Saccharomyces cerevisiae S288C: one gene and its partners. Changing the gene in region 4 together with the main gene of any one other region gives a genetic interaction. Each region holds a gene or a part of one and is shown on either strand. Other genes may lie near its edges. The genes, in order: PDR1, SDH1, SOL2 and RPS6B.

Region 1 (9,430 bases), on a different chromosome or scaffold from region 4:
ATCCTTAATTATGATATCACAATAGACGAAGGGCACACACCAATTTGCCACCGTAAGGATAGAGTAAGTTAAATGGCTAACTCATTATAATCTTCATGCTAAATCATATAAGGGCAGAGACGAAGCAAAGCGAAAAAAACATATTACAATCATGTCGGGTGCTGCTGCTGCATCTGCTGCTGGTTATGACAGGCACATCACTATCTTTTCCCCCGAGGGTCGTTTATATCAAGTAGAATATGCCTTTAAAGCGACTAATCAAACTAACATAAACTCACTAGCGGTCAGAGGTAAAGATTGTACAGTGGTGATAAGTCAGAAAAAGGTCCCTGATAAACTGTTGGATCCAACTACTGTTTCGTATATTTTTTGTATTTCAAGAACAATTGGTATGGTAGTGAACGGACCAATACCGGATGCAAGAAATGCGGCCCTAAGAGCCAAGGCTGAGGCTGCAGAATTCCGTTATAAATATGGTTATGATATGCCATGCGATGTATTGGCTAAGAGAATGGCTAACCTTTCCCAAATCTATACTCAAAGAGCATATATGAGACCATTAGGTGTTATACTCACATTTGTTTCGGTAGATGAAGAATTGGGTCCCTCCATTTACAAAACTGACCCTGCAGGTTATTACGTTGGCTACAAAGCTACTGCGACAGGACCAAAACAACAGGAGATCACAACAAACTTAGAAAACCATTTCAAAAAGAGTAAAATCGACCATATTAATGAAGAATCATGGGAGAAGGTGGTAGAATTTGCTATTACTCATATGATTGACGCACTGGGTACCGAATTTTCAAAGAATGACTTGGAAGTCGGTGTCGCTACAAAGGACAAATTCTTTACCTTGAGTGCTGAGAACATCGAAGAAAGGCTAGTAGCAATTGCTGAACAAGATTAACATACTTCCTGCCACAACATAATGTGAAATCACACGCGTCAACACTCAATATATGTATGGACACGTTTCATTTAGGATTTATTTTATAGGAAAAAGTAGATCAAGTAATAGAAAATCGAATCTTTTCAAGCCCTTTTGTCGCGTAAATACATCAATACTTTTATATACAAACTGTAAAATAAGTTAATGAAGTGGATAGAAAAAGAAAATAACTAGAAAACATAAGGAATAAAGACGTAAGGGCAATGTTTACAATACTCATCCCAATCTTTTCCGTACTTTCTCTTACATTTTGCTTGGTCTCTGAAGGCTCTGTGAATCAGGACAACAAGGAAGAATACTGGGAAAAACCATGGGAACACCGAGTTGAACCCGCAAGACAAGGCCCAAACGAGAGATTGAGTCCAATCGGCAGTGTAGTGAATTTTTCTAGCCAAAGTGTACCAACCATCAATCAATAGGTACGATCCATTGGAGGTAACCATATACTTTGGATTCTTCAAAATTTGGTATGGCAAAAATGGGAAAGTCTTCCTACCTGTCTTGTCACCAGACATTTGCTTTCTGAAGGCATTTTTCTGAGCATTTGCCGTGTCAAAGAAGTAGTAGGCGCATAATAGAACAACGTACAGCGAAACATTGTACAGTGTAGACCAGTGATATTCAGATGGGTCATGGTAGTACAAATACAACGTACAATGACAGTAAGTGTATGGGACACCGGCAATATTCCAGAAGATCAGCATAAATCCAAACTTTTCGTAAGCCATGTCCCAGGTTGGAACAATCAATTCTTCACCTTTAGCACATGCGTTCGCGTACAACCAATGAGCTAACATGACAACCCCCAATTGTGGTGTCACATAGCCGTAAGTCTCCCACTGCTTCAAACAGGCACCCAAAGTGATAAAGTAAAGGGTGAACCAAGGTAATCTAACCTCGAAAAACATCTTCAAGTCCAAAATCCCCCACCTAGGGTTTAGTGGAGCTCCCATGAAGAAATCATATAGATGGTTTCCTGTCATTCTATGATAGTCATGTGAGATAAATAAAGTCCATAAGTACAATATGATGGAGAAGGCAAACCCTGAAATAATGGCACATGTCATGATCCTCCCAAAACGGTCAATAATGACATACAATCTAAAAAGATTGGTAAAGTGCAAAACCAAGACCAAAGTGGTAGTTACATACAAGGTCCACATGGCATTACAAAAGTAAGGCAATTGTTTTCCCTTCAAATGAGACAATGGTTGACCTTTTGTCCAAATCCCGGGCAACGTATAGTAGAAAATGATCTGAAACACCCAAAATGTTAAGAAAATAGTCCAGTCATACTTTTCTGGGATACCGTTCTCCAAGACTAACTGGTATAGGTGCTTGATAAAGTGCATCCACGATTCACCAGCCTTGGGTAGGGCAACCTTACCGTGATAAAATTCCGCACAAATCCACATATAGTACATTAGCAGTGGAAACCCGATCAGCATACCAATAACACCAGTAGTCCCACCAAACTCATATTCGATTTCATTTGGCTTCAGCCATTTACCCTGAGGCAGGAAATTAACCGGTTGCTTGGACTTTTTCTCCTCTCCCTGCACCTGCAGCTTCTCACTATTATCCTTTGCCATAGCGATGCTAATCTATGTACACTACGTAAATATCCGTATCTGCCTATCTACATAACTGAACTACATTCCTACGTTATTACCACTGTTTGGTAATTTTTCCTCGAGGATATATAATTCTGCTTTTCCATAGTAACGCCAAACGATCGCGTAATACCGGCAATTACGGGATGCACGAAAATAGCGCCAAGGAACGAAAAAGAAATGAGTCTCGTTTAGTTATTAAACGAGAAGAAACGAGCCCTGATTTACATTCTCAGGGTCCAATAGGGCTTTGTTGGAAACAGACGCATACCCTAAATGGAGTTTCTTTTCTTGTTCAAGACCTAATGAGTGGCAATAAGAGGCGCTAATTAAAGCTCTTCAAAACAACCTTATTCGCCTATTACACATGATCAGCCACTCTTTCATTGTCAACAATAGCATGATAGCAGGACCATAGCGGCCATATAGACATTACCAGGAGTGAGTTTTGGCTAAAAAAAGACAATTTGCACATCACTTGCTAACTATTCATCTCAGCCAAGAATATACAGAAAAGAATCCAAGAAACTGGAAGATGCGAGGCTTGACACCTAAGAACGGTGTACATATTGAGACGGGTCCGGATACAGAATCGTCCGCGGACTCCAGCAACTTTTCTACAGGTTTCAGCGGCAAGATTCGTAAGCCAAGGTCGAAAGTAAGTAAAGCGTGCGATAACTGTAGAAAAAGAAAGATAAAATGTAATGGGAAGTTTCCCTGCGCAAGCTGTGAGATATATTCATGTGAGTGCACGTTCAGCACTAGACAAGGTGGCGCTCGAATAAAAAACCTTCACAAGACGAGTTTGGAAGGTACAACCGTACAAGTCAAAGAGGAAACAGATTCCAGTTCGACTTCTTTTTCTAATCCTCAGCGATGTACAGACGGGCCATGCGCAGTGGAACAACCAACGAAATTTTTTGAGAATTTCAAGCTAGGTGGTCGTAGTAGTGGTGATAATAGCGGAAGTGATGGGAAGAATGACGACGATGTGAATAGAAACGGTTTTTATGAAGACGATAGCGAATCACAGGCAACTTTGACATCTCTACAAACCACTCTGAAAAATTTGAAGGAGATGGCTCATTTAGGTACACATGTAACCTCAGCCATCGAGAGCATTGAACTTCAGATAAGTGACTTGCTTAAGCGATGGGAACCCAAAGTGAGGACCAAAGAATTAGCAACAACGAAATTTTACCCTAATAAATCAATAGAAACTCAATTGATGAAAAACAAATACTGTGATGTGGTACATTTGACAAGATATGCCGCTTGGTCAAACAATAAGAAGGACCAAGATACTTCTAGTCAACCTTTGATCGACGAAATCTTTGGTTTGTACTCTCCTTTCCAATTTTTGTCACTTCAAGGTATTGGTAAATGTTTCCAAAATTATAGATCCAAATCCAAATGCGAGATTTTTCCCAGGACCGCCAAGGAAACCATATACATCATGTTAAGGTTTTTCGACGTTTGTTTTCATCACATCAACCAAGGCTGTGTCTCCATAGCTAATCCCCTGGAAAACTACCTACAGAAAATGAATCTTTTACCTTCAACCCCATCTTCGATATCATCTGCAGGGAGCCCGAATACAGCACACACAAAATCGCATGTTGCGTTAGTGATAAATCACTTACCGCAGCCCTTTGTGAGAAATATAACCGGAATAAGTAATTCTGAGCTACTAAGCGAAATGAATAATGATATCAGCATGTTTGGCATTTTATTGAAGATGTTGGATATGCATAAAAATTCCTACCAGAACTTCCTAATGGAAATCACATCTAACCCCTCCGTGGCTAAAAACACGCAGTCAATTGATGTCTTGCAGGAATTCATCCATTATTGTCAAGCTGGAGAGGCGCTAATCGCCTTATGTTACAGCTATTATAATTCTACATTATACAACTACGTGGACTTCACATGCGACATAACGCATTTAGAGCAACTTCTATACTTTTTGGATCTGCTATTTTGGCTATCGGAAATATACGGTTTTGAAAAAGTCTTGAACGTAGCAGTTCATTTTGTTTCAAGAGTTGGTTTATCAAGGTGGGAATTTTACGTGGGTCTTGATGAAAACTTTGCTGAAAGAAGAAGAAATCTCTGGTGGAAAGCTTTCTATTTCGAGAAAACTTTAGCCTCTAAACTTGGCTATCCTTCGAACATTGATGACTCCAAAATCAATTGTTTATTACCTAAGAATTTTCGAGATGTTGGGTTCTTGGATAATAGAGATTTTATCGAGAACGTCCACTTAGTTCGCAGGAGCGAAGCTTTTGACAACATGTGCATATCCGACTTAAAATACTATGGCGAATTAGCTGTCTTACAAATAGTCAGCCATTTCTCATCATCTGTTTTATTCAATGAAAAATTCACGTCAATTAGGAATACATCAAAACCATCTGTTGTTAGAGAGAAACTACTCTTCGAGGTACTCGAGATTTTTAACGAAACAGAAATGAAATATGATGCTATCAAAGAGCAAACTGGAAAATTGTTCGATATTGCATTCTCTAAAGATAGTACTGAACTCAAAGTTTCAAGAGAGGATAAGATTATGGCTTCAAAATTTGTTCTATTTTACGAGCACCATTTCTGCAGAATGGTTAACGAATCTGATAATATTGTCGCCAGATTATGCGTGCACAGAAGGCCCTCAATACTAATTGAAAACTTGAAAATATACCTTCACAAGATTTACAAATCATGGACCGATATGAACAAAATCTTATTAGACTTTGACAACGATTATTCCGTATACCGTTCGTTCGCCCATTATTCTATCAGTTGCATTATTTTGGTATCACAAGCATTCTCAGTGGCCGAATTCATTAAAGTAAATGACGTTGTGAATATGATTAGAGTCTTCAAAAGATTTTTGGATATAAAAATTTTTTCCGAAAATGAGACCAATGAGCATGTCTTCAACAGCCAAAGCTTTAAAGACTATACAAGAGCTTTTTCTTTCCTGACAATCGTCACTCGTATCATGCTTTTGGCATACGGAGAGTCCTCTAGCACCAACCTCGATGTTATCTCCAAATATATTGATGAGAATGCGCCAGATTTAAAAGGTATAATAGAACTTGTCTTGGATACAAACTCTTGCGCTTATCGATTTTTATTAGAACCTGTTCAGAAGTCAGGATTCCATTTAACGGTCTCACAAATGTTGAAAAATAGAAAGTTTCAGGAACCACTAATGTCAAATGAAGATAATAAGCAGATGAAGCATAATTCGGGAAAAAATTTGAATCCGGATCTCCCAAGTCTTAAGACGGGCACTTCATGCTTACTAAATGGCATTGAATCGCCTCAATTGCCATTCAATGGTCGCTCAGCACCTTCCCCAGTGAGAAACAACTCACTACCGGAGTTTGCACAATTGCCTTCATTTAGGTCATTATCCGTGTCTGATATGATCAATCCCGATTACGCGCAACCAACAAATGGGCAAAATAATACGCAAGTCCAATCTAATAAACCAATCAATGCTCAGCAGCAAATACCCACTTCAGTACAAGTACCATTTATGAACACAAATGAAATCAATAACAACAACAACAACAACAACAACAATAAAAACAATATTAACAATATTAACAACAACAACAGTAACAATTTTTCTGCAACTAGTTTTAATTTGGGGACACTAGATGAATTTGTTAATAACGGTGATCTTGAGGACCTCTACAGTATCCTGTGGAGCGACGTTTATCCAGATAGTTAAACGTATACGTTTGTATAGATAAAAGTTCTCAAAAACTTCCTTCCTTTTTTTTTTCTTTTGAGTTTACTTATTTAAATAAGAACATTCTGTTTTCTAGGGCATCTCCTTCTCTTATTTCTTCAACACTATTTACCAGTATACCATAAAGTGAAAATTCCTATTTTTTTTGCTTTGGATATTCATTTGATCCTCAACGAAAAAAAAAATGATGTATTTTAGTATTGTACAAAAGATATTATATGAGGCTAACGTAAAAAAAGCTAAACTGAGGATATATGTATCAACTATGAATCTAAATGTAACATTCCGATGATTCTTTTACCATGAGGTGTATTTCTTATGGGGCCCACCAGTAAAGGCGCCACAATCTCTGATAGTCTTTTATAGAGATAGTCATTTTGCTTATGAGAAATGTCTAATGCTGTCTGTAAAACGTAATTTCCGTAGCTATCATTCAACAATGATTGAATACCCGTCTCGCCACCATTATTTAAAATTTCCAGAATCATTGGCTCCGAAACAATAGCTGTCTTCAAGATTTTTTCAATCACATTTGATCCAAATTTATGGATAGAAAGTTCGATGGCTCTTGGTTTCAACAGGTGGACAATTTTATGCGTATAATCATATTTGTTCTTCTCAGCCTCTTTGGTAATTATATATTGCACCACATAGTTGCCAAATGGATCCAAAGTTAATTTATCAACAAGGGCTAGCAACTTATCACACAGATTGTCACATTGTTCTGTAGTCCCATGATCTAGACAACGTTGCAAAACGCAACACCCGTGTCTATGAGTAGCAATATCAATACAGCTATCAGAGATTGCGTCAAAGATAAACTGGAAGTTTTCAGGCTTCAACCTTTGCAAACATTTTTGAATAACATGATTACCATTTAAATCCTTACTCAACTGGACAGTATAAGGGCGTAAAGAATCAACAACAATCTGTGCTTCTTCATCTGTTTTGATGCATTCAATGAGTTTTTGTAATGCCCTAGTACCATGAGGGTTTAAGGAAATTTCGACAAAATGAGGGGAAGATATTTTTGTGAGTACGATTCTTTGTTCTGTGGTAACCTCTTCCAATAGCTTCTGGATCAAATAATTACCGAATGAATCAGTCATCAATTCAACCGTATAATCCTTAGTTTCTTCAAAAATTGCGTCCGCCGCCTTACTGCCGAGAATATCCAACTGCTTTTGCAGAAAACGACAACCATGTTGGTCTTTACACAATGAGTGAATACTTCCGATATATTGGTCTAAAACTGCGTCCGCAAATCTCGACGACTCCTCAATTTTACGTTGTTTTTCCGCGCTGTTGCTGTTGGTAGCATTACTGTTATTATTATTATTGTTATTATTATTATTATTATTATTGTTATTATAGTAGCCATGATAACTGTTTTTCATATTTTTCATTTTACCAACGTTAGAACGACCTGTGTCTTTATTGTTGTAATTAGAATTACCAATGTTGTCATTGTCATTATGACTTGACATGCTATTGTTATTACGACCATGATGTTTATTATTGGCGCTATTCATTAACGGCATATGATTTTGAGCCAACAAATGAGGCGGAACCATTGCGTTGAAGGGAGGTGGAGTGCTATAAAGCCAGGGAGGAGGGGGGGTGTTTTGCTGGGGAGGTAATATGTGGAAAGGTTGCATTGATGGCCCAAGATTAGGATTTATTAAATCCATCCTAACATTTGGACCCGCCTTGTCGTTATCGGTGGTGGGCTTACCACCATCATTCTTCATATCTGAAAAGGCAACAGAATTTGAACTAGGGTTTAAAACTGGTGCAAGATGAATTGGCGATTGGGTTAGAGGAATTGGAGAATTTGCATTTAGTGAATGACTCGTAGGATTTAAAATCGGAGAGAAAGGTTGAAATTGCGCGCCCATTTCATAAGAATTAGGAAAAGGTGATCTAATACCATAGATAGGGGAGGATATATTATGTGGGTGGCCTGGCATAATAGGATTTGGTTGAAGTAAAGGTCCCCCATATGGATATGCTGCACCATAAGTTGTAGGACTCTCTTTTTTAGCTGGTGCAGTTTTATTAATCAAATCCTCCTTCGAGGTTTCTATTTTGAAATCGGATAATTTCTCAGAAACACTATTGGTTGGGGGTATAAATGACGTTGAGGAGGGAGTATTATCAAAAGATATGGATTGAGTTCTGGTTTTTGCAGTATTGTTAGCTCCTACAGACGGTTTCTTAGCCTTAGAAAAATTCTGCATGTCAGATTGGAAGTCCTTTGACAAGGTTACATTGTTGGCCGCATTGATAAGGTCAGTTGGTGATAAAGCATGAAAAGTTTGTCTTCTGAACGAACTAGCCTTATTATTAGACTCCCTGCCCTTAGATGGTAGGCTTTCTTGTAGAGTAGCGGTGGTTTCTTCAATGGCTACAGATGCTGATCCTGGTACGTTTGAATGAGTCCATAACGGATCAGCCGATGCGATTGGCAATACCTTCATTGAATTGTCATTTATCAATGGGTTTAGATTTTGTCCACCTTGAGTTGCTACCGCAGCACCCGAAGACAGCATTTGAAATGGAAGTGAGTCATTCTTGAATAACATTGGTGGACCGCCTGCATTCAAGGGCGAGCTACTCAATGGTGCTGTTGGATCATTAAAATCAGGGGGCGGAAAAAATGGACAAGGATTATGAGGAACCTGCATCATTTGAGAGTAGGGCATGAAGCCCATTCCACCCATCATTTGTGGATGTGGAAACATTTGCGACGGAGGGCCATTAGCGAATTGAGAATCTTGAGAAACTTTATTCGCAAATGCATTAGAGGTGGCGTTTTCCTCTGGATCATCTAGTTGCAACTGCTCTAAAGCAGAATTGACTGTTTCTGAAACGACAGGGTCTACTGATGGTACATCATCGATTTCTTCTTTCAAACCTTTTGTAGACATAACGTAGGTCCACTTAAAAATGTTACAGCGCTTAGTTCTCTCTTTCTTAAAAGATATCGAGGACAAAGAAACAGTAAGAACGGAAAATGAACAGAGACTCTTAAAAGAACCTAAAGAATAAGCGAAAATAAAATATGAAAAGAGAACTAGTGGACAATATCAACAGGAATTT
Region 2 (8,006 bases), on a different chromosome or scaffold from region 4:
ATAGTATAACGTATATAGGTTAAAATAATATTCCAAGTCAAAAACATGTTTTCCAGATTATCCAGATCTCACTCAAAAGCATTACCGATTGCTCTAGGTACAGTTGCTATAGCAGCTGCTACCGCATTCTATTTTGCAAACCGTAACCAACATTCCTTTGTCTTCAATGAATCTAATAAAGTGTTCAAAGGTGATGACAAATGGATCGACTTGCCAATATCTAAAATAGAGGAGGAATCCCACGACACCAGAAGGTTTACTTTTAAGCTGCCTACCGAAGACTCAGAAATGGGGTTGGTCCTAGCATCTGCTCTGTTTGCTAAATTTGTCACACCAAAGGGATCCAATGTGGTGAGACCATACACTCCTGTGAGTGATCTTTCCCAGAAGGGTCACTTCCAGCTGGTCGTCAAGCATTATGAAGGTGGTAAAATGACCTCACATTTATTTGGTCTTAAACCAAATGACACCGTTTCTTTCAAGGGTCCTATTATGAAATGGAAGTGGCAACCTAATCAGTTCAAGTCAATCACCTTGTTAGGTGCCGGTACCGGTATCAACCCTCTGTACCAATTAGCTCATCATATAGTTGAAAACCCAAACGACAAGACCAAAGTTAACTTGCTATATGGGAACAAGACTCCTCAGGACATTTTACTAAGGAAGGAACTGGATGCGTTGAAGGAAAAGTATCCTGACAAGTTCAATGTTACTTACTTTGTTGACGACAAGCAAGATGACCAAGACTTTGATGGTGAAATTAGTTTCATCTCCAAAGATTTTATTCAGGAGCATGTTCCAGGTCCAAAGGAAAGCACACATTTGTTTGTCTGCGGTCCCCCACCATTTATGAACGCTTACTCAGGTGAGAAGAAGTCACCTAAGGACCAAGGTGAATTGATCGGTATCTTGAACAATTTGGGCTACTCCAAGGACCAAGTTTTCAAATTTTAAGCATGGAGGAAAGTAATTGATATTTTTTTTAATTTCGGATCGTTCAAATTAGTAAATATATAAAAAATATATATATATTCATGTGTATGACTAAAAATTCTCTCAAGAAGGCTTGGCTTTAAGCTCTAATTCCGTCTGCATTCGTAATAGAAATATCTCTCAAGTCATGAATTTAGAGATAAATGCTTTAGTTTGTCGTACTTCATCTTTCTGAATATCTAAGGTGTATGCAGGAATGGCATAATTTTCCCAATCAATATCCCTTCCTTCCTCTCTATTAGATTGAGACAGTTCTATCCAATTGACGCTATTAAACGGTTTATTGCTTAGGAGATTCTTATTTTTTTGACAAATTACCAAATTATTGATAAATTCAGGATCCCAGAACATACGGTGATTCTCGTCCTTCCACGAAGCATGCGATGTATCCGGTTCTATTTCCAGAATTTCTAACCAACGTCTTCTTGGCAGGCACTTGTCCAACGCCAAGAACCGTGTCTCGCCGTATTTGGAATCATACTCATTCTCTTCTTGGCAATTCATAATACCAGACCTTTCGTCCTCGTCACTGGATAAATCCAAATCTATTTCATTATTGTTTTTTTTTGTCTTTGAAGTTGACTTATTAGGCGGTTCGTGGCTTCTTTTATTATGCTTAATGGAGGCCATGAACCTGACATGCAAATGGGCGCTCAACCACCATTGAGGCCGCAAATCTCTTAGTAGTTGCCAGGTCACTGGGCTGCCTAGTTTTCCCTCTTTAATATCTTGCTCAAAAAAAGGCTTAAGCTTCAACAAGTGCTTAGTATCGCCATGATAAACGACTCCATTGGGCCAATCGTGGCTCAGCATAATATCAATACGATGCTTGATCATAAAAAGAGGAGCAATATCAGAAATTCTTACATGATACAGATTTCTTATGTTAGCTTTCCAATTGTTATTTTCTAGGTCATTCCAATCTGGTCGTTGCTTATTGAAATCCCACTCTTTCCATATCCCGCTCAATGAACCTATCCTTATGCCTTTAAACCATATAACGTTAGAGTATCCCATATAAAAAATGTTCTTTGCTACATAACCACCATGTGGCAGAAGCATTAAATGTCTCATCGATTCATGATTACCGCCAATAAAAATAGTAGGGACTGGGGCTTCAATCTCATTATTGTAGTATGATATGAAATCACCGAGTCTTTGATATTTTGGTGGTATGGCTATTGACTTAAAATCCTGACCATCACGAATACTTTGAAAATCTCCAAGAATAATTAATAGATCGATGGGAGTCTTCGCATGGATTCGTGACACTTCTTTATAAATTTGGTTTAGCTGACCATGACAGCACCCTTGTACAGCAATTCGCAATTTAGTCATAAGCAAAATGATAAATGTCTGCCCATCTTAATTTTTAGTTACATATTTACGTTCGCCATATGACTTTCTCCTGCTCATTTTTTGTGAGGGCCAGAAAAACACACATCTGGCTAATGAGAAAAAAAATTGGAGAACTAAGGAAATGCCTCGATAAAAAATTGAAAGTAATAAATAAATAAATAAATAAATAAATAAATAGTAAGTTAATAAATAACTAAATAAATAGAGTATGTATAAGAAGAAACTTTATGTAAATGTATATTAATAGGTATATATACAAATTAGTGAGTCAGTGGTAAAAAAGTGCAAACGCACAAAAAAAGTGCAATTAAAGAAGAGTATGATATTCTTTTCCGTAAAATACAATGAGGTTCAAATTAGTAGGCTCTTACAGTTGGAGGTACGGAAGGACATTCCTTTTCGTCCAAAGTGTGATCGATAACCCTTCTGTATTTCAAAGTCACTGGGGCAGCGACGTCCTTTTGCCAGGATAATGTATGCTTCATCCAATGTTCGTCATCTCTATTTGGATAATCCTCTCTTGCATGAGCACCACGGGATTCCTTTCTATTAGCAGCGGAAACAGCTGTTTGGGAGGCACAGGTTAATAAGTTCTGTAGCTCCAGAGTTTCAACCAAGTCAGAATTCCAGATCATTGATCTATCGGTCGTCTTCACATCATCAAAGGTCTTCTCTACTGCAGTAATGTTCCGAACACCTTCATCTAAAGATGATTGTGTTCTAAAGACGGAAACATCCTTTTGCATAGTTTGTTTCATATTCATTCTAATTTCTGCCGTAGATCTTGAACCATTAGCATTTCTTAGTTTATCCAAGTTTGCGATGGATTCTTTACCCAAATCAGAAGGTAGTGGTTTGTGTGGCAACCCAGGCTGTAAAGTGTCAGCAACCGTATGGGCAACAGCACGACCAAAGACAACAAGATCCAACAAGGAATTGGCACCTAATCTATTGGCACCATGGACAGAAACACAAGCGGCTTCACCACAAGCCATTAAACCGGGAATAACCTTGTCTTCGCCAGTTTCTTCATCAATGGTTAATGCCTCACCATTCCACTTCGTGGGAATACCACCCATGTTATAGTGGACGGTAGGAATAATGGGAATAGGTTCCTTGGTGACGTCTACACCAGCAAAAATGGCTGCTGTTTCAGAGATACCTGGCAATCTTTCCTTTAGAACTTCCGGAGGTAGATGGCTCAATTGTAAGTACATGTGGTCCTTTTTCTTACCAACACCTCTGCCTTCTCTGATCTCCATGGTGATTGCTCTGGAAACGACATCTCTACAAGCTAGATCCTTGGCCGTAGGAGCGTAACGTTCCATGAATCTTTCACCTTCAGAATTAACCAAAAAACCACCTTCACCACGAGCACCTTCAGTGATTAAGCAACCAGACCCATATATACCTGAAGGATGGAATTGAACAAACTCTAAATCTTGCAAGGGGAAACCAGCACGCGAAACCATGGCATTACCGTCACCCGTACATGTGTGAGCAGAGGTACAAGAGAAGTATGCTCTACCATAGCCACCAGTGGCAATAATGGTCTTGTGTGCTCTGAATCTGTGGATGGTACCGTCTTCCTGATTATAAGCGATGACACCAACGACCTCGCCATTATGGGTCAACAGATCGAGGGCAAAGTACTCAATAAAGAAATGTGTGTCATGTCTTAAAGCTTGGCCATAAAGCGTGTGTAAAAGAGCATGTCCTGTCCTGTCTGCGACAGCGCATGTTCTATAGGCCTGAGCACCCTTACCGTACTCCTTGGTCTGACCACCAAAGGCTCTTTGGTAGATCTTACCGTTTTCAGTTCTTGAAAAAGGAACACCATAGTGTTCCAGTTCAATGATCGATTTGGGCGCTTCCCTGGTCATGTAATGGATGGAGTCCTGGTCACCTAGCCAATCAGATCCTTTCACAGTATCGTACATATGCCATTTCCAGTTATCCTTGTGCATATTTCCCAGAGCGGCATTGATACCACCCTGAGCAGCAACAGTGTGGGATCTGGTGGGGAAAAGCTTGGATATACAAGCAGTCTTGTAGCCCGCCTCGGCAAGACCAAAGGCCGCTCTAAGGCCGGCACCACCGGCACCGATTACCACACAGTCATACTCGTGATCTATTATGTGGTACTTCCCGTCTGCAGATCTGGACGCGGAACCGTTTACAGAGCCCTGCGTTTGGCGCACCAAAGCTGACGATGTAAATGTTCTTGTGTTTCTGAGCAAAGTCAACTTGGAGAGCGCTGATTTTTTTAGCGATAGCATCTTTATTCTCGTTCTTCTTCGTACTATGAAATTGGATTTTTTTCTTTCTTTCTTTCTTTCTTTTTATCTTCAATAAGGGGTTGGGGAGGAGATTAGTGAAAAGAATATCGAAAGTGCAAAGTATACTACTGGTTAGTTATAATGTGTCTACTAGTTTATTAGTGCTATTTAAGCTTCAAGCCGCCTCGACGTGGCAAAAGGTTAGAGTCGAGGATGCCTGAATATATAACGGGTTTGAGCAAACAAACAACCAATAGAAGAGGCCCGGATCCCTTGGTCCAGCGCTTGCTCGGCGCCGCGTTCTGCGCTGTGATTGGTCCACCCCCGCCCTCAAAGCCGTGACTCCATAACGACTTTCCAGCGAGCTTGGTACCTGGCAATAGAGGATGATCCTCACCTCCGCTACTTTTGGGAGCTACTTTTAGCACGGAAAGGTATATTTTGGACTACTGTATGAGTAAATCCTTATATAGACGACATTATTACTAAAGGTAGAGCGAGAGATAGTAAAAGGGTTGGTTACCCGGTCGGGCCTTTTTCTCGTATTATCATTTGTGCTCGTGAGGCTATGAAATAAGAAGGATCGATGGTCAGTAGTGAAAGAGTGGGAAGCAAAGTTTATTAAGAAGCGTATAAGGGATTGCATCGCGGATATGAATGGAAAAGAGGTTTCAAGTGGCTCTGGAAGAACGCAGAGCAACAACAACAAAAAAAATAACAACGGAGGCAGTACAGGAATCTCGCATGCGTCTGGCTCACCTTTAACGGACGGCAACGGTGGCAATAGCAACGGTAATAGTAGAAGTAGAAGCAGAAGTAGAAAATCTAGTGGAACTACAGGTGGTTTGCTAAAAAAGCCGCCGCTGCTTGTGAACAATGAAGCGGTGCATGCTAGCGTACCCGACGCGTCGCACACTTCCTGTAACAATGGCACGCTTGAAGTGAGCATAAATAACCCTGAGCCACATGTGGTAGATGCCGTGGCACGCCACTTGATAAGAAACCCGAGTAACAGCCTACAATTGCAAGGCGGAGACATTACAAGAGATCTGTATAAGTGGACAAACGACCATCCTTCATCACCATCGCAGTATCAGTACCCAAGTCAACCTGCACTTTCCACCTCAATACCTTCACAAGCGCCCTCATTCTCGAATCGTAAAAGGTCTATGAGCTTTTCTGCCGCTTCTATAGCATCTTCCTCTCACCTTAACAACAACTCGGAGGCGAATGGGAATCCTCTAGCGGCAATAGGCCTGGCGCCCGCACCGATGACGCACGAAGAAATCAGGGCTCCTGGTGGATTCAGAAGATCTTTTATAATACAGAAGCGCAGGAAACATAACGTTGATGCGCCCATACCGAATTTTTTCACCAGGAACTTTATTGAATTTTTGACCTTGTATGGCCACTTCGCTGGTGAAGATTTATCGGAAGAAGAGGAGGAGGAGGAAGAAACTGAAGAGGAGCCAGAGGAGGAAGCTTTGGAAACGGAAAGCACCCAGCTAGTTTCTCGTGAACACGGGCGCCATCCTCACAAATCATCTACGGTAAAGGCGGTGCTGCTCTTGTTAAAGTCATTTGTTGGGACAGGTGTGCTTTTCCTACCAAAGGCTTTCCATAACGGTGGTTGGGGATTTAGCGCCCTTTGTCTACTCTCGTGTGCCCTCATTTCTTATGGATGTTTCGTATCATTGATTACCACCAAGGACAAAGTAGGCGTAGATGGGTACGGTGACATGGGTCGTATACTATATGGGCCCAAAATGAAATTTGCCATTCTTTCGTCTATCGCCTTGTCACAAATCGGGTTTTCTGCTGCATACACTGTTTTCACTGCAACTAATTTGCAGGTCTTTTCTGAAAATTTCTTCCATTTGAAACCGGGCAGCATCAGTCTAGCCACCTATATCTTTGCACAAGTACTCATCTTTGTCCCACTATCTTTGACAAGAAACATAGCCAAGTTAAGTGGGACCGCGTTAATAGCAGATCTATTTATTCTACTGGGATTGGTTTATGTTTACGTTTACTCCATTTATTATATTGCTGTTAATGGTGTCGCATCCGATACAATGCTTATGTTCAATAAAGCGGACTGGTCGTTGTTCATCGGTACCGCCATATTCACCTTTGAAGGTATAGGCCTACTTATCCCCATTCAGGAGTCAATGAAACACCCGAAGCATTTCCGGCCATCGTTGTCCGCGGTGATGTGTATCGTGGCAGTGATTTTCATATCATGTGGTCTCTTATGCTATGCCGCTTTTGGATCTGACGTGAAAACTGTTGTTTTATTGAATTTTCCGCAGGACACTTCCTATACTCTCACTGTTCAATTACTGTATGCATTAGCCATTTTGTTATCCACGCCGTTGCAGCTATTTCCCGCGATACGTATTTTGGAAAACTGGACTTTTCCCTCAAATGCATCTGGTAAATACAACCCGAAAGTCAAATGGTTGAAAAACTATTTCCGTTGCGCTATTGTCGTCCTGACATCTATCCTCGCTTGGGTAGGCGCCAACGATTTGGACAAATTTGTATCACTGGTAGGCTCCTTCGCGTGTATCCCATTGATCTACATATACCCGCCATTGTTGCACTATAAGGCGTCCATCTTATCTGGAACCTCGAGAGCCAGGCTTCTTTTAGATTTAATCGTCATAGTATTTGGAGTTGCTGTCATGGCCTACACGTCATGGCAGACGATTAAAATGTGGAGCCAGTAATCCGCCATTTTTGACCGAGTACATCATGTACAGACACATATATATATATTTATATATGACTCGTTATCTATATGCATCTGGAACACACATACCTTGTTTTAATTATGATTAGCATAAATGTACTATCCTTGTCAATTTGGTATGGCTGAGTTTACCCGGACGAGAGGAAAAGGTATAGTGAATAGGATTACCGAATTTTGCCACCCGAAAACTAAACTAGCATGCAGCTTACTATACAAAGAACTGGGTATATACAGTATTTTCCAAGGAGATGAGAATTCAAAGCAATATTCAATTGAGATATTTTTTTGAACCATCGTAATAAATCAAGGAAGTTAGGAACTATACGGAATGCCACCAAAAGAAGACTGGGAAAAATACAAGGCACCTTTGGAAGACGATGATAAAAAACCTGATGATGACAAGATCGTACCCTTAACAGAAGGTGACATTCAAGTCTTAAAATCATACGGTGCAGCTCCATACGCAGCCAAATTAAAGCAAACTGAGAATGACTTAAAAGACATTGAAGCGAGAATCAAAGAAAAGGCCGGTGTGAAAGAAAGCGATACAGGGTTAGCACCCTCCCATCTATGGGATATTATGGGTGATAGGCAGAGACTGGGCGAAGAACATCCCTTAC
Region 3 (6,822 bases), on a different chromosome or scaffold from region 4:
ATTTCCAGGTAAAGGTCACCGCAAGATGAATCCATGGTACCTAAGGATTTTACTCGCATCACTGGCCATTTTTTCACTGCTAACCGTACAATTTATGTACTCCAACTACTGGTACGATTGGCATAACTCAAGAACTCTGGCGTATTGCAACAATTTGTTTTTACTCAAAATATCGATGTCACTAATCAAGTACATCCCACAAGTGACGCATAACTCGACAAGAAAATCTATGGATTGTTTCCCCATTCAGGGTGTGTTTCTAGATGTCACTGGCGGTATCGCCTCGCTGCTCCAATTGATTTGGCAGTTGTCTAACGATCAAGGTTTCAGTCTGGATACGTTCGTGACAAATTTTGGAAAAGTGGGACTGTCAATGGTAACTTTAATATTCAACTTCATCTTTATCATGCAGTGGTTTGTATATCGATCTCGAGGCCATGATCTGGCGTCAGAGTACCCGCTGTAGCACACAAGGAGAAATCTGCATAATTACGCATATATATATATATATATATATACATAAATATACATAAATATATGTATGTATGTATGTATGTGTGTATGTATGTATGTACACACATGCATGGTTTAAATAGACAAACCTTGGTGGAATTTATACTTTTTTTTGGTGACGAGGACGTCCGTAAGAGCATCGTCGTCAACAAACCATGATACACGACCAGCAGCACCTTCGTTGACAATACTGCTAGGTAGGCCCTTTTCAGGCCTTTCCATAATGGTCTTGATGATGGGCGCCTTGGTTGCACCTTCGACAACGAAAGTAACCCTGTGAGAATGGCAGATTACAGGTATAGTCAGCGAAATTCTGGTCGAGGGCCCACTAGGAGCGTTCTCCACGGGCACCACCCATGCAAGTTTCTCACGTAGATTGTCCTGGAAGTTAGGGAAGAGTGATGCGATATGACCATCGGGGGCACAACCAAGCAGGAACAAGTCGAACATCGGAAGTTTGACGGAATCTCTACCGGCAAACCCGCGGATTAGCACCTTTTCATAGTTATCAGCGCATTCTTGCGGGTCGTCAATCAATGACTCGTCAATGTGGTACACCTTCGGAGTTCCATACTTCGCCGTGTCTATCAGGTCCAAAATCTTCCTTTTGGCGCATCCATAATTGCTTTCATTCGAGCTGAAGGGTACAAGTCTCTCGTCTGCAAAGTAAATGTCCCAGTCTCCCCACCGTACATCGTCTCGTTTTAGCAGACCTTCGTGTAGCACTTCGATCAATGACCCACCGGAGAGAGCAATCTTGAACCGTTTCTCCTTTTTGGGCTTACTGCTACCACTGCCACTACCACTGCTACCACTTTTCCCTTCCGCGGCAGATGCTGTGCTTTTGCAAGAGGCCTCTCTCGTCATATCCAGTGCATTCATGCTGATGTTGGGAACAGAGTGTTTCCTCTCGTTCTTTGGAGCCAATGCACCGTCTTGCGCGTGGACTACATGGTCAGCTACGGCCTCTGCCACGTCTGAAAACTCGTGAAACGCGAATATCTTGGGTACCGTCGTAGTCATATTGTCTTGCTGCAAATTGCTTTCTGTTCTAGTCCATACCTACACTGGATATGACGATGATGATGCCACTATTATCATTGAAATTTGTTAGGAAAACCCCTGTAGCGCCCGCCCTATTTAAACCTAATTTCCCCAGGATGTCTAATCACATTTTCTTCATTTTTTGGAAACTAGACCTTAACATATTTCGTATTAACCCTATGTCTCGAATTGAAAATTTCGCGGGTCTTTTCTCTTGCCTTGGTACCTTATGTAAAAAAGCGATGCCAGGAACAATAGGATAAAAATAGCAGCAACAACATACGATAAGAATTGAGGATGCTAAGCTAATGTTGTTTTACTTAGGGTGGCTATAAAAGGTAGTTCCTTGTAGGTGAAAATGATGATGGATATACTGAATACACAGCAACAAAAAGCGGCTGAAGGCGGGAGAGTTCTGGCTCCTCATACCATCTCAAGTAAGCTCGTGAAGAGATTATCAAGTCATTCCAGCCATAAACTATCAAGATCTGATTTGAAAGCATTGGGTGGCTCGGAAACAATAAGCGACGGCCCCAGTCAGCTGACTTTTAAGGACCGATACGTTTTCAATGAATCGCTATACTTGAAAAAGCTAAAAAAGACCGCTTTAGATGACTACTACACGAGGGGCATAAAACTCACTAACCGCTACGAGGAAGACGACGGTGATGACGAAATTATTCGGTTGTCTAATGGCGACAGAATTGATGAAGACCTGCACTCAGGTGTCAAGTTTTTCTCCACTACACCTTATTGCAGGAAAATGAGGTCAGACAGTGATGAACTAGCTTGGAATGAAATTGCGACCGAACGGTTCAAATGGCAGTCAATGCTGGCCAGAGTGCTGAAGGGAGATATTGTTAAAGGTGAAAAGACGAGGATTGCTAACCAAGTCAAGAAACCAGGGTTAAATAAGGAGCTCTCAGATGAGATATGGCTCGAATTGAAGGCATGGCTGAATGGGAGGACCATGCAAGAGATGGAACAGTCGCTTACATATTTAAGAGATAGTTCAGATTCCGTTTTTGAAGAGATAATGAAGTTTCAAATTCCACAGGGCAAGATATTGAGCCTGGATGCACTGGAGGCCATCTTACAAGACCTCATGAACAGATATCACAGCGTTGTCTCTTATTGGCCTAACTTGAAAAAAATGTATAAGGATAAACCAATCACCAATACTGCAGAATTTACCGCTAGAATAGACGTAATGAATTCTTGGCTGAACTTTAAAACGAACTTAACGTTGAGGAGGCAAGAGTTGGACGACTGGATAAACCGTTTCTCACCGATAAGTAGTTCGGATAATTGCCAAGAGGATTTTGATGGTGTGCCCCAATGGAACTGCAAAATGAAGATTCTTGCAGAACAATTGATGAAGGAAAAGAACATCGAGTCTATATTCCAAAAAAAAATTTTCTATCCGCTATCACCTTGGATGTTCAAACTGAAACTACATTTTATAGTCTACAGAGAAACTTTGACAAAGATGAACATAAAATATCCTTATGAAAGGTTAAGATCACTACTGGCGTTCCCCGTCTATTTAATCAAAGAAGTTATTTTGACTAGATTGTCATATGCACGAAAGCTTAAAAATCCAACAATGATGATGATCGATCAAATGATCGATGATTTTAACGCTTTTATTCGACTTTCTGTGCAATTGAAGTACACACTGACAAAATATTGCTCCAATTTGCCGTTCGATGTGGATTTTGACCCGACGTTCGAAAATACTGTAATAGAAGCCATTCGTTATTTATTTTTTCTGTTGAATTTAAAGTTGATTGATTCCAGTAAACAAAATTTCAAAGCACCCGATCTACTCTTGAAATACTGGGATCACCTAAAAAACACCGGTCACTATATTAACGGTGCAGAAACCGTGATTCCAAATGAATTTCTCAAGTTAACTTTGAGACTCGTACATAAATTGCAATTCTATCTTTTGAAACAACAAAACTTCCCACCAACATTTGCTAACGCTTCAGAAGCAGAAAAATGGCTAAGTTCCATTTTCGAAAATTTGGGTGCCATGAAAAGAAAGCTGAACAGGTTCAGCAATATTCTAGTCAAGGCGTTCCAAAATTCTGCTGTTTATCAGATTAATCATAATGCACAACTTGTTAAAAAGTTAAAAGATGCTCACTATTTTTTGGTATACTCCGGTAACACTTTTGAGTCTAGTGGTGTATATATGTTTGCTGCTCCTGAATTATTAGGTTGTGACAATGATACCATCTTAAGAATTTTGCGAAATAAATCCATTGGCTGTGATTTGGTCCCAAAGCTTGACATTGGAAATAATTTGAATGTGTATGATATAACAACAAAAGAAACAGATTTGAACATTCTAGTATCGAAAGGGGAGGATTCCAAAGGAATTCCTTACTACCGAGTAGTAGCAAATTCGTCAAGTGATTTGGACAGGCATGCTCATCAGTCCAAAAAGAAGAATTTTTCAACAGACCCTTTTGATCAGCACCTTGATGAAAAGAACAATGAAGTTTTTGAATTGGAAGTTGCTTTGAGCTCATTGGGTGCACTAGTTGTACTATATCCTGGAGAGCCAGTAGTTTGGGATGGACCAGTATATAAGCTTCCAGGTAACAACCTTTTTGCATCCAACGAAATGGATTTAGGGAAAATTGGTAACCCAAATACGTTGATTTTACTCAATCAAGGTTCTAATTATGCACTGACTTATCAAATCGACAAGTTTAATCAAACGGTAGGTGATTCTGTTTCATTCATAGAGAAACGTTGTTCACTCAATTCAATTGAATCCTCCCTACAAAAAATCAATAAGGCATATTACAAACTTACTTATACAGTATTGAACAACTACAAAGGAATTCTAGGTAGCTTTATGAAGCAATGTCCGGGAAATGAGTTGTTAAATTCGATATTCATGTTTGGAAGGGATTTTGGAAGAAGTTTCCTTAAATATAACGCCTTTAGCTCAAAGAGGAAGTACGTTATCATCTTTCTGATGGTTAAATTAGGAATGAACTGGTTGAAATTCCTTGTTGAAGAGTGTGATCCTACCGATCAGCGAACTTTCCGATGGTGCGTTCTTGCAATGGATTTTGCGATGCAGATGACTAGTGGTTATAATATCCTGGCGCTGAATGTAAAGCAATTTCAAGAACTGAAGGAGAGGGTATCAGTATGTATGTCATTATTAATTTCACATTTCGACGTTATGGGTGCACGAGCCACTGAAGCTGAAAATGGCATGCAACAGGCAAGATTGAATATTGATACTGAAGAGAATATTGATGAAGAGGCCACCCTAGAAATAAACAGCAGGTTGAGACTGGAAGCTATAAAGACGTTGGAAAAGACTATGAAGAGGAATCCCAGGCAAATGGGTAAGGTATTGGATGCTACAGATCAGGGAAACAAATACCTACTATCGCTAGCATCCTCATTATCGAATGTATCAATGAGGTGGCAAAAAAGAAGCTTCATTGGCGGTGGAACATTTGGACAGGTATACTCTGCAATTAATCTGGAAAACGGTGAAATCTTAGCTGTTAAGGAAATAAAGATACACGATACCACAACAATGAAGAAGATTTTTCCCCTGATTAAAGAAGAGATGACCGTATTGGAAATGTTAAACCATCCTAATATTGTCCAGTACTATGGTGTCGAAGTACATCGCGATAAAGTTAACATCTTCATGGAATACTGTGAGGGTGGTTCTTTAGCCTCGTTATTGGATCATGGAAGAATTGAAGATGAAATGGTAACACAAGTGTACACATTCGAACTATTAGAAGGTTTGGCATATTTGCACCAATCTGGCGTGGTGCATCGCGACATTAAACCGGAGAATATCTTGCTGGATTTCAATGGAATCATAAAATATGTGGATTTTGGTACGGCACGTACCGTTGTAGGATCTAGGACTAGAACTGTGCGGAACGCAGCCGTTCAAGATTTTGGAGTAGAAACAAAGTCCCTCAATGAAATGATGGGGACACCGATGTATATGGCTCCAGAGACTATTTCAGGCTCGGCAGTTAAGGGAAAACTTGGAGCGGACGATGTATGGGCATTAGGATGTGTTGTGCTAGAAATGGCCACAGGTAGACGACCTTGGTCTAACTTGGATAATGAATGGGCCATCATGTACCACGTTGCTGCAGGTCGAATACCGCAACTACCCAATAGAGACGAAATGACTGCAGCGGGAAGAGCCTTCTTGGAAAGGTGTTTGGTTCAAGACCCCACTATGAGGGCTACTGCTGTGGAACTACTGATAGACCCTTGGATGATACAAATCCGTGAAATAGCATTTGGCAACTCAGAGAAAGATCAAGTACCTATCCTAAGCTCATAGAGTGGTCAACGTCTAAAAATATGATATACTACGATATATAATGTAATGTAATTCAATAATGGTGATGAAGGCAAGATTTCATTTAGAGCTGTTACCCGAGAAACCGGTGAAAAATTTTAAAATGAAAAAAAAAAAAAAAATGCGATGAGCTTCAAAAAGAGTATCTTTAAAAGACATATATCACAAGATTTTTATATTTGTAACCTCGATAAACACACACTAACACAATATACAGATGTCCACCCTGATTCCTCCACCTTCTAAGAAACAAAAGAAAGAGGCTCAACTTCCCAGAGAAGTAGCTATTATTCCGAAAGATTTACCCAATGTTTCAATCAAGTTCCAAGCTTTAGATACTGGTGACAATGTAGGTGGCGCCCTGAGAGTTCCCGGTGCTATCTCCGAGAAACAGTTAGAAGAACTTTTAAATCAATTGAACGGTACTTCAGACGATCCAGTGCCATATACCTTCAGCTGTACAATTCAAGGTAAGAAGGCCAGTGACCCTGTGAAGACGATTGATATAACAGATAACCTATATTCTTCATTAATAAAACCAGGCTATAACAGTACAGAAGATCAGATCACGCTACTGTATACGCCAAGAGCAGTTTTCAAAGTCAAGCCGGTAACTAGAAGTTCATCAGCCATTGCAGGTCACGGTTCCACAATTTTGTGTTCTGCCTTCGCACCACATACGAGTTCTAGGATGGTAACCGGTGCAGGTGATAATACTGCAAGGATTTGGGACTGTGACACCCAAACGCCAATGCATACTCTAAAGGGTCACTACAATTGGGTTCTCTGCGTTTCCTGGTCCCCCGATGGAGAAGTAATTGCTACGGGATCCATGGACAATACCATAAGATTATGGGACCCAAAAAGCGGTCAGTGTCTAGGTGATGCTCTCA
Region 4 (6,878 bases):
AACGGCCAGGCCGATAATTACGCCGATGAATATCTGTTCAAATAGAGGAACCTTCTTGTGATTATCTCCGTTAAGTAATGCCTCTTTGGCCTCGCATACTAAACTCCATGTCGGAATGCACATGGCGTATATCATTGGAAGTTCATCCAATAGTTGGAATCTATACTTCAGTGTCATATGAAATAGCCATGATCCTACTCCGACCAAACCGTACCCGAAGCCAATAAGTAAAAACCTTTTTTCTAATTTATTCTTGTAAGCAGAGTAAGTTGTGTAAATCGCTGACAGTATGAATACGCTGTTAGTTAAAGTGTTTGACCACTCGGCAATATAGGGAGAAACGACATAGTTCTCCTCACACCAGTCAATAGTGGAAGTTGTTTCTCCCCAAACGCCGGGGACAGAACTCTCTGGATAGTTCCAACGAAATATTCCCATCAATCTTCTATTTTCTTAAATAAAGATTTCTGCTTTTATTTACAAATTAATCTCTGTAAGTATCGGACCTTATAAAAACCCCTTACACAATAACTATATAGATGTATATAGGATATATAGATATATATATGCAAATATCTTTTTCCTATAAGCGATAAAAATAAAATGCTACCCGAATTCTATTTAGACATATATAACCGGAGACAGATATTTTTTATGTCATGGGGTAGAGTAGTGCGTTTGAAAGTATCAAACAAAAAGTTTCAGGGGCCGGATCTAATCGGCATAAATATTTTCCGATGTCTCGCGTTAAAAAACTTGCGTGATAATCCGTCCGCACTAGTGGGATCGAAAGAAGGGGCGTGGTCAGAAGGGTAACGTTATGTGAAACCCTTGCCTTTGAATCTTTCCTGCTATGCTACGTCGGCCGACACTTCCATTTGAAAAAAATATAAACGATGGTGTTGCCAAGTATTTTTTTTCGCCTTCGTTTAACGTCAGCATTACTAAAAAGGTTAATGGTTGGCGATACTAACTAAAAAGAATTTGTAGAAATGCCATGAAGATTTTCACGCTGTATACCATGATTCAGCAATACTTTTTTGATAATGGCGGTGTTTATAGTATAAAGAATTTTTATTCTGCAGTTCCGAAGGAGAAAATGAACATAATTCTTGTTTCACTTGATTGTGAGCTCCAAAAGCTTGCTCTTAAGCTGTCAAAGAAAACTAGTGGCACTCACACTACGCACTAGCTTTTACACCACATCGTTATTGTTTTCCATTAACGCTTACGTAAATTTCATCTATCATTCTACCTGTACCGTTCCCGATGATAGTGGCTTACAAAACGGCTTGAGGTACAGTTGGTTCGAACTTTTTGCATTATTGTTGCCTTCTTTTTTTAGTAACAAGCGGCGTCTTTGTTTCTTCTGCAAAAATAATCTCGCTCGAGTAATTGGAGGCTTGGCAAAACTTAAATCTCCACGCATACCCGGCTTCCTATGTTCGTGAAGGACTCAAAAACATGAACTATCCTTATCCATCTTTCTTTTGCCAAATTATTTTAGCCAATCTATATAACACTACATCATTCCTTTGAGTCTTTCTTTATCATTCATTCGAAGGGAGAAATATACGAGCCAAATTCAAAGACAGACTATTTTTTCGAGCAGGCCTATCTCATCAGAAAAAAATTTAATAAAGCTCTAGATAAGCAAACACAATTATTTTCAAAAAAATTTCTGCTAAATGGGTAGAAGAAAAATTGAAATTGAACCTATCAAAGATGATAGAAATCGTACAGTTACTTTCATAAAGCGAAAAGCAGGACTATTTAAAAAGGCTCATGAATTGTCAGTACTTTGCCAAGTAGACATTGCTGTCATTATTTTAGGATCCAATAATACATTCTACGAATACTCTTCTGTTGATATGAGTAACCTGCTTAATGTTCATCAAAACAACACTGATCTTCCTCATAATATCATAGAACCATCTGATTATGGTGACTATGTGAAAAAACCACGTGTTGTTCTGAATGAAAGGAAGCGCAGGCGAAGAAGAGCAACCGTGTTGCAACCAGCTTCCCATTCTGGGAGTTGTACAGTTTCGAGTCAAGATTCCTCCAGTGTACAAAACAATGGGAATTTAAGCGCTCCGTTGGCGTCAAATGACGCCGGGAACGCTGGTGTAAGTACACCATTGGTGCATTGCCACGGAGCAATATCACGTAGCGGATCCAATCATTCTGACTGTGCAAGAAATAGTGCAGATTATCAAATGTTGCAAGGCGGTTTAAATTCTGGTGGGAGTTTTCATGCTAATGATTATAAAGAAAGCGTAGACCAACAGCATGTTGCAAACGAGGCTATTCATAGGAATTTTATGAACAAGAGGATTAGGCCGGATACTCATTTACTACTTTCTGAATCTAACCACTCTAATTATCATAATTTTTACCCGTCGCCTTACGAGAATTTGCCAAAGCCTTCATTGCCTGCAAGTTTAGTGGGCAATATTCCATCCTTTCAATCGCAATTTGTACAGGTTATTCCGGCAAATAGTAACCCAATGGGAAAAGGATTTAATGGGACGGGTGACAGCGAGAGCTTTGAAGCAAAGCAAAAGATACACCCGACAGTTGCTATATCAAATACTTTGGAAGGTCCAGCTCCAGTGCAGGCGATGGTCCATCACCTGCACCAACTGAACAGCAATAGAGGAAAGCTCTCAGGGAAGCCATATTTAAAGCTAAATATTCCGAAGGCCACAAATGACGCTTGCCAGAGGTCGCCAGCAATGTATTCAGGAACCGCATCACCGAAAACGGATGTACAAGCCACTCCCAATCAAATGCTCGCCAGCAACATGTCCTCCCCTCTTTCTCGTTCAAAGTTTTTGGGATTCAAGAACAATGATATGGACGACTTATATCATAATGGCCGATGTGGCAGCACTTATGTAAATAACAAAACATTCTTTCTGAAACCGCCAATTGGAAGACCGCCTAAATTTCCGAAAAGCCCGTCTTCATCTATTGTGGTTTTTCCTTCCTCGGTAGCTAGTTCAACTTTGAAATCCACGAGTTCGACAAACTCTCCAGATTAATGAATCGCTTTCTAGCTACTTTTTACTACAAGAAAGCATTCGCTTAAAATTAAGAGTGTATGTTGGCGCATTTAGGCAAACGTCTTCTAAATTAGGGCTATAGACAATTATGTCGCTCGTACATTTTTCAGATGTAGTGACGCAAATTTCTAGCAATTTGCAGGTAGTGCTCCACGGCCCCCTTCCAATTTTTGTGCACTCAATCGATCAAAACAATAGAGACTGCCCTGTTAACTTCTCAACATAATTATGTAAAAAATTATCTCATTAAGCCAGATAGCAAATATATCACATATTGCATTGATTAATTTGAGAAAAATATACATGTATCTTTTCAGTTAATTTTATTAAAAATAAATTATTTCCTTACTTTTTTTTCTACAGTTTGCACCATTAACCTCTTTTCTTGCATCCATACATCTTTGAACTCCATACATCTTATTTTTTTGCTGTTTTTTTTCAGTGTCTCGGGCATACAGGCCGCTTATCTTCATGCCGGCCCATCATCCTAGGAAACTCTTTCGGTATGGGCCAAGGGCAGGCGAAAATCCTATGTGCGTGGAGCTGATACAATCTCGGCTGGCTTGGTTTGTAGGGCACGGTCAATGAATGCCTGATGGGAGAAAAATTCATCTTTATGAAAAGTGATCTTAATTTGAATAGTGTGCCCTTCAAAACATTTGGAAGTCATTAATTGAAACTATCCAGTGTGAATAGACGACTGAGCCATCATGAAGGTATGTAATATCACCCAAATCCTTAGAATTCTAATGAATCAGCACGCGCTAACCGGCTGTTTCTGACTGTTTGATAAACGTATACCCACAAATTAGTGCACTATAATAAAAATTCTCAAGAACAACGTTGTTTAAACGAGATAATTCCCTCTAATATACACGTACCGACACTTAGGAAAATATCTCGCTAAGTTCAAATTAAGGAATGAAAAAGGAATTTACGAAAAGGGTTTAGAAATATCAATGAAAATAAGAAAAACCTGTAACGGAAGAAAGGACAGCAGGGATTCGTTGGAATTTGTCGATATTGGCTTCGGACAACTTTACTAACAAATGGTATTATTTATAACAGTTGAACATTTCTTACCCAGTCAACGGGTCTCAAAAGACCTTCGAAATTGATGATGAACACCGTATTCGTGTTTTCTTCGACAAGAGAATCGGTCAAGAAGTCGATGGTGAAGCCGTTGGTGATGAATTCAAGGGCTACGTCTTCAAGATCTCTGGTGGTAACGACAAACAAGGTTTCCCAATGAAGCAAGGTGTTTTGTTGCCAACTAGAATCAAGTTGTTGTTGACCAAGAACGTTTCTTGTTACAGACCAAGACGTGATGGTGAAAGAAAGAGAAAGTCCGTCAGAGGTGCCATTGTTGGTCCAGATTTGGCTGTCTTGGCTTTGGTCATTGTCAAGAAGGGTGAACAAGAATTGGAAGGTCTAACTGACACTACTGTTCCAAAGAGATTGGGTCCAAAGAGAGCTAACAACATCAGAAAGTTCTTCGGTTTGTCCAAGGAAGATGACGTTCGTGATTTCGTCATCAGAAGAGAAGTCACCAAGGGTGAAAAGACTTACACCAAGGCTCCAAAGATCCAAAGATTGGTTACTCCTCAAAGATTGCAAAGAAAGAGACACCAAAGAGCTTTGAAGGTCAGAAACGCTCAAGCTCAAAGAGAAGCTGCTGCCGAATACGCTCAATTGTTGGCTAAGAGATTGTCTGAAAGAAAGGCTGAAAAGGCCGAAATCAGAAAGAGAAGAGCTTCTTCTTTGAAGGCTTAAGTATGTCTTGGACCTGCATAATTTTTATACTTTTTCCTTTTAGATATATGTACTTTTGGCTTAATTTAATATAATTAACTATAACTTCGATTTTATTCTTTGAAGGTCCAAATGCACGTAATTCATAAACTTATGATGCATTGTTCTATTTCTTGAAGTCCTTGGGATGAGTGATGAGAAAATTTTCTTGAAAGTTAAATAATATAATAAAATTCTAAAAGTTAAATTTTATAGCTAAACATAAACTATTTCTTAAAATTCTTTGGCAGTATATTTTCTTTGAAAAATGAGAAGATATAATATACCAATCAATGAAATTGAACTGCAGAGACCGAGCCCTGTAAAACACCATCCAATTCCCATTGCGTTACAGAGCTGTAAAATGATAGCGGAACTAATGGCAGCGCCCACATTTCGAAAGAAACTACTAACAGCAACAGTTCCAGCAGCTCTTTTGGGGAATAACTCAGTTAAATATGTCATTGATGTGTTGCTGCACCAGGTCATACCAAAGGCAGTGAGAGCGGAAAAAACTAAAAGAACCACAAAATGATAATGAAAGAAGATTGCCCATCCGTATCCTATTGTGCCACATATTGTTAGTAAAATTCCAATTAGGTTCAGTAATAAACGAAACTCTGCCGGGAATTTCTTTTTAGGATGACTTTTGATCCAGCGTGAACGAAGATAATCTGAGAGGTGCCCACCAGATTGAGATCCTAGTAACATAGCTACACCTGGGCAGACATAAGCAGCACCAATTTCTAACATAGTAAAACGGTAGTCATGTTCAAGGTAATACGAAAACGTGACGCTGAACGCATAGTAACTGGAGAACAGGAGTGCAGTACTGACGGACGTGATTATTATTGGAGGACATTTAATCATTTTCCAATATAGTGTCAAACCTGCTTTAGGCGGCTTTGGAAAATTTTCTTGGAAGAAAGCATCATTATTGACTGGTTTACGGATACCAATGTCTGGGAACAGACGCCGATGTGATATTTTATTACCTTCGAAGAATGGAGATTCGTTATTTTCACGTTCATCTTTTTTGTCACCCCATTTAGGGTCTCCATTACCAACTATACAACGTAGCGTTTCTGGAAGTAAAGCAGTAACCAAGATCAATGCTATTCCTGTCATGATAGAAGTGAAACCAAAAAGCCATCTCCAGTAATTTCCTTTCATTAAAATAAGCCCAGCAACAATGGGTGCTATAATAGGACCCATGTTTGGACCCATCATGAAATACGCTATGGCCTTTCCCCTGTGTTTTGGAGGAACAACGTCTGTTACAGTGCCAGCTCCCAGAGAAATCACAGAGCTGGAAGCGAAAGCTTGGAAAATTCTTAAAACAAAAAGGGCAGCAATATTGACTGGTACAGCGGCCAAAAGTATATTAACAATTAACATTAGTGATAACGACACCATATATAAGAATTTCCTTCCACCAAAATCCGCCAGTGCGCCCCAAAACAATGGACCAACGGAAAAAACAGCCATAAATACAGAAACTGTAGCGTTTATTGTTGTTGCACTTACATCATATTCCCTTTGCAGCAATGGTAAAGCCGGTATATATATGTTTCCAGACATTGGGCCCAAAAATCCTATAAAAATGATAATTCCAAAAATGATTAGTCTTTGATCCTTGGAAAAATAAGTATATGGAATATGTGCTTGAGTATCAGGAGAAGGGTCTCTTGACTGGGAGTTCGATGACTTTACAGCAACTTCCTCTTCTTTTGTTTTTGCTTTCTGTGCTGACAATGATGGGGAAGAGTCAGGGTGCTCATGAAAGACATCATGATCTATATTGGCTCTCTTTTGGTTCACCTGATCCCAGCTTTCATTAATTACATCATCTCCTAGATCTTCTAGCGAATGAAATGTTGAGCGGGTTGTTCCACTTTCTTGCGAATTAATTTGCAGACCCAAATTCTTTTTCTGAAACGGTTCGCTTCCCATTGCCTTAATTCTTTTCCCAGCTCTTGAAACTCTTTTTTGAAAAATTACCAACAACAACTTTTCTTA

Evidence for each region.
Region 1: mutations in RPS6B (region 4) and PDR1 together harm fitness more than expected from each alone (negative genetic interaction), as found in Saccharomyces cerevisiae (2 studies listed by BioGRID).
Region 2: mutations in RPS6B (region 4) and SDH1 together harm fitness more than expected from each alone (negative genetic interaction), as found in Saccharomyces cerevisiae (2 studies listed by BioGRID).
Region 3: mutations in RPS6B (region 4) and SOL2 together harm fitness more than expected from each alone (negative genetic interaction), as found in Saccharomyces cerevisiae (2 studies listed by BioGRID).

What each region holds. Positions count from the first base shown.
Region 1 is NC_001139.9:465,969-475,398, reverse strand, and holds PDR1 (drug-responsive transcription factor PDR1), read left to right. Parts: upstream 1-3,100; coding exon 3,101-6,307; downstream 6,308-9,430. Other genes in the region: SCL1 (proteasome core particle subunit alpha 1), read left to right, coding at 152-910; ERG4 (delta(24(24(1)))-sterol reductase), read right to left, coding at 1,123-2,544; PUF4 (Puf4p), read right to left, coding at 6,592-9,258. UniProt on the Saccharomyces cerevisiae protein: Positive regulator of proteins involved in permeability. PDR1 and PDR3 jointly control the transcription level of both SNQ2 and PDR5.
Region 2 is NC_001143.9:166,499-174,504, forward strand, and holds SDH1 (succinate dehydrogenase flavoprotein subunit SDH1), read right to left. Parts: upstream 4,632-8,006; coding exon 2,709-4,631; downstream 1-2,708. Other genes in the region: MCR1 (cytochrome-b5 reductase), read left to right, coding at 46-954; DBR1 (RNA lariat debranching enzyme), read right to left, coding at 1,114-2,331; AVT3 (Avt3p), read left to right, coding at 5,285-7,363; proteasome regulatory particle base subunit RPT1, read left to right, coding at 7,715-8,006.
Region 3 is NC_001135.5:241,677-248,498, reverse strand, and holds SOL2 (Sol2p), read right to left. Parts: upstream 1,537-6,822; coding exon 589-1,536; downstream 1-588. Other genes in the region: cystinosin-like protein ERS1, read left to right, coding at 1-466; mitogen-activated protein kinase kinase kinase SSK22, read left to right, coding at 1,916-5,911; RSA4 (Rsa4p), read left to right, coding at 6,147-6,822. UniProt on the Saccharomyces cerevisiae protein: May be involved in regulation of tRNA subcellular distribution.
Region 4 is NC_001134.8:589,675-596,552, reverse strand, and holds RPS6B (40S ribosomal protein eS6 RPS6B), read left to right. Parts: upstream 1-3,778; coding exon 3,779-3,784; intron 3,785-4,136; coding exon 4,137-4,841; downstream 4,842-6,878. Other genes in the region: YPC1 (phytoceramidase), read right to left, coding at 1-438; YBR182C-A (uncharacterized protein), read left to right, coding at 998-1,192; SMP1 (Smp1p), read left to right, coding at 1,689-3,047; DTR1 (Dtr1p), read right to left, coding at 5,094-6,812.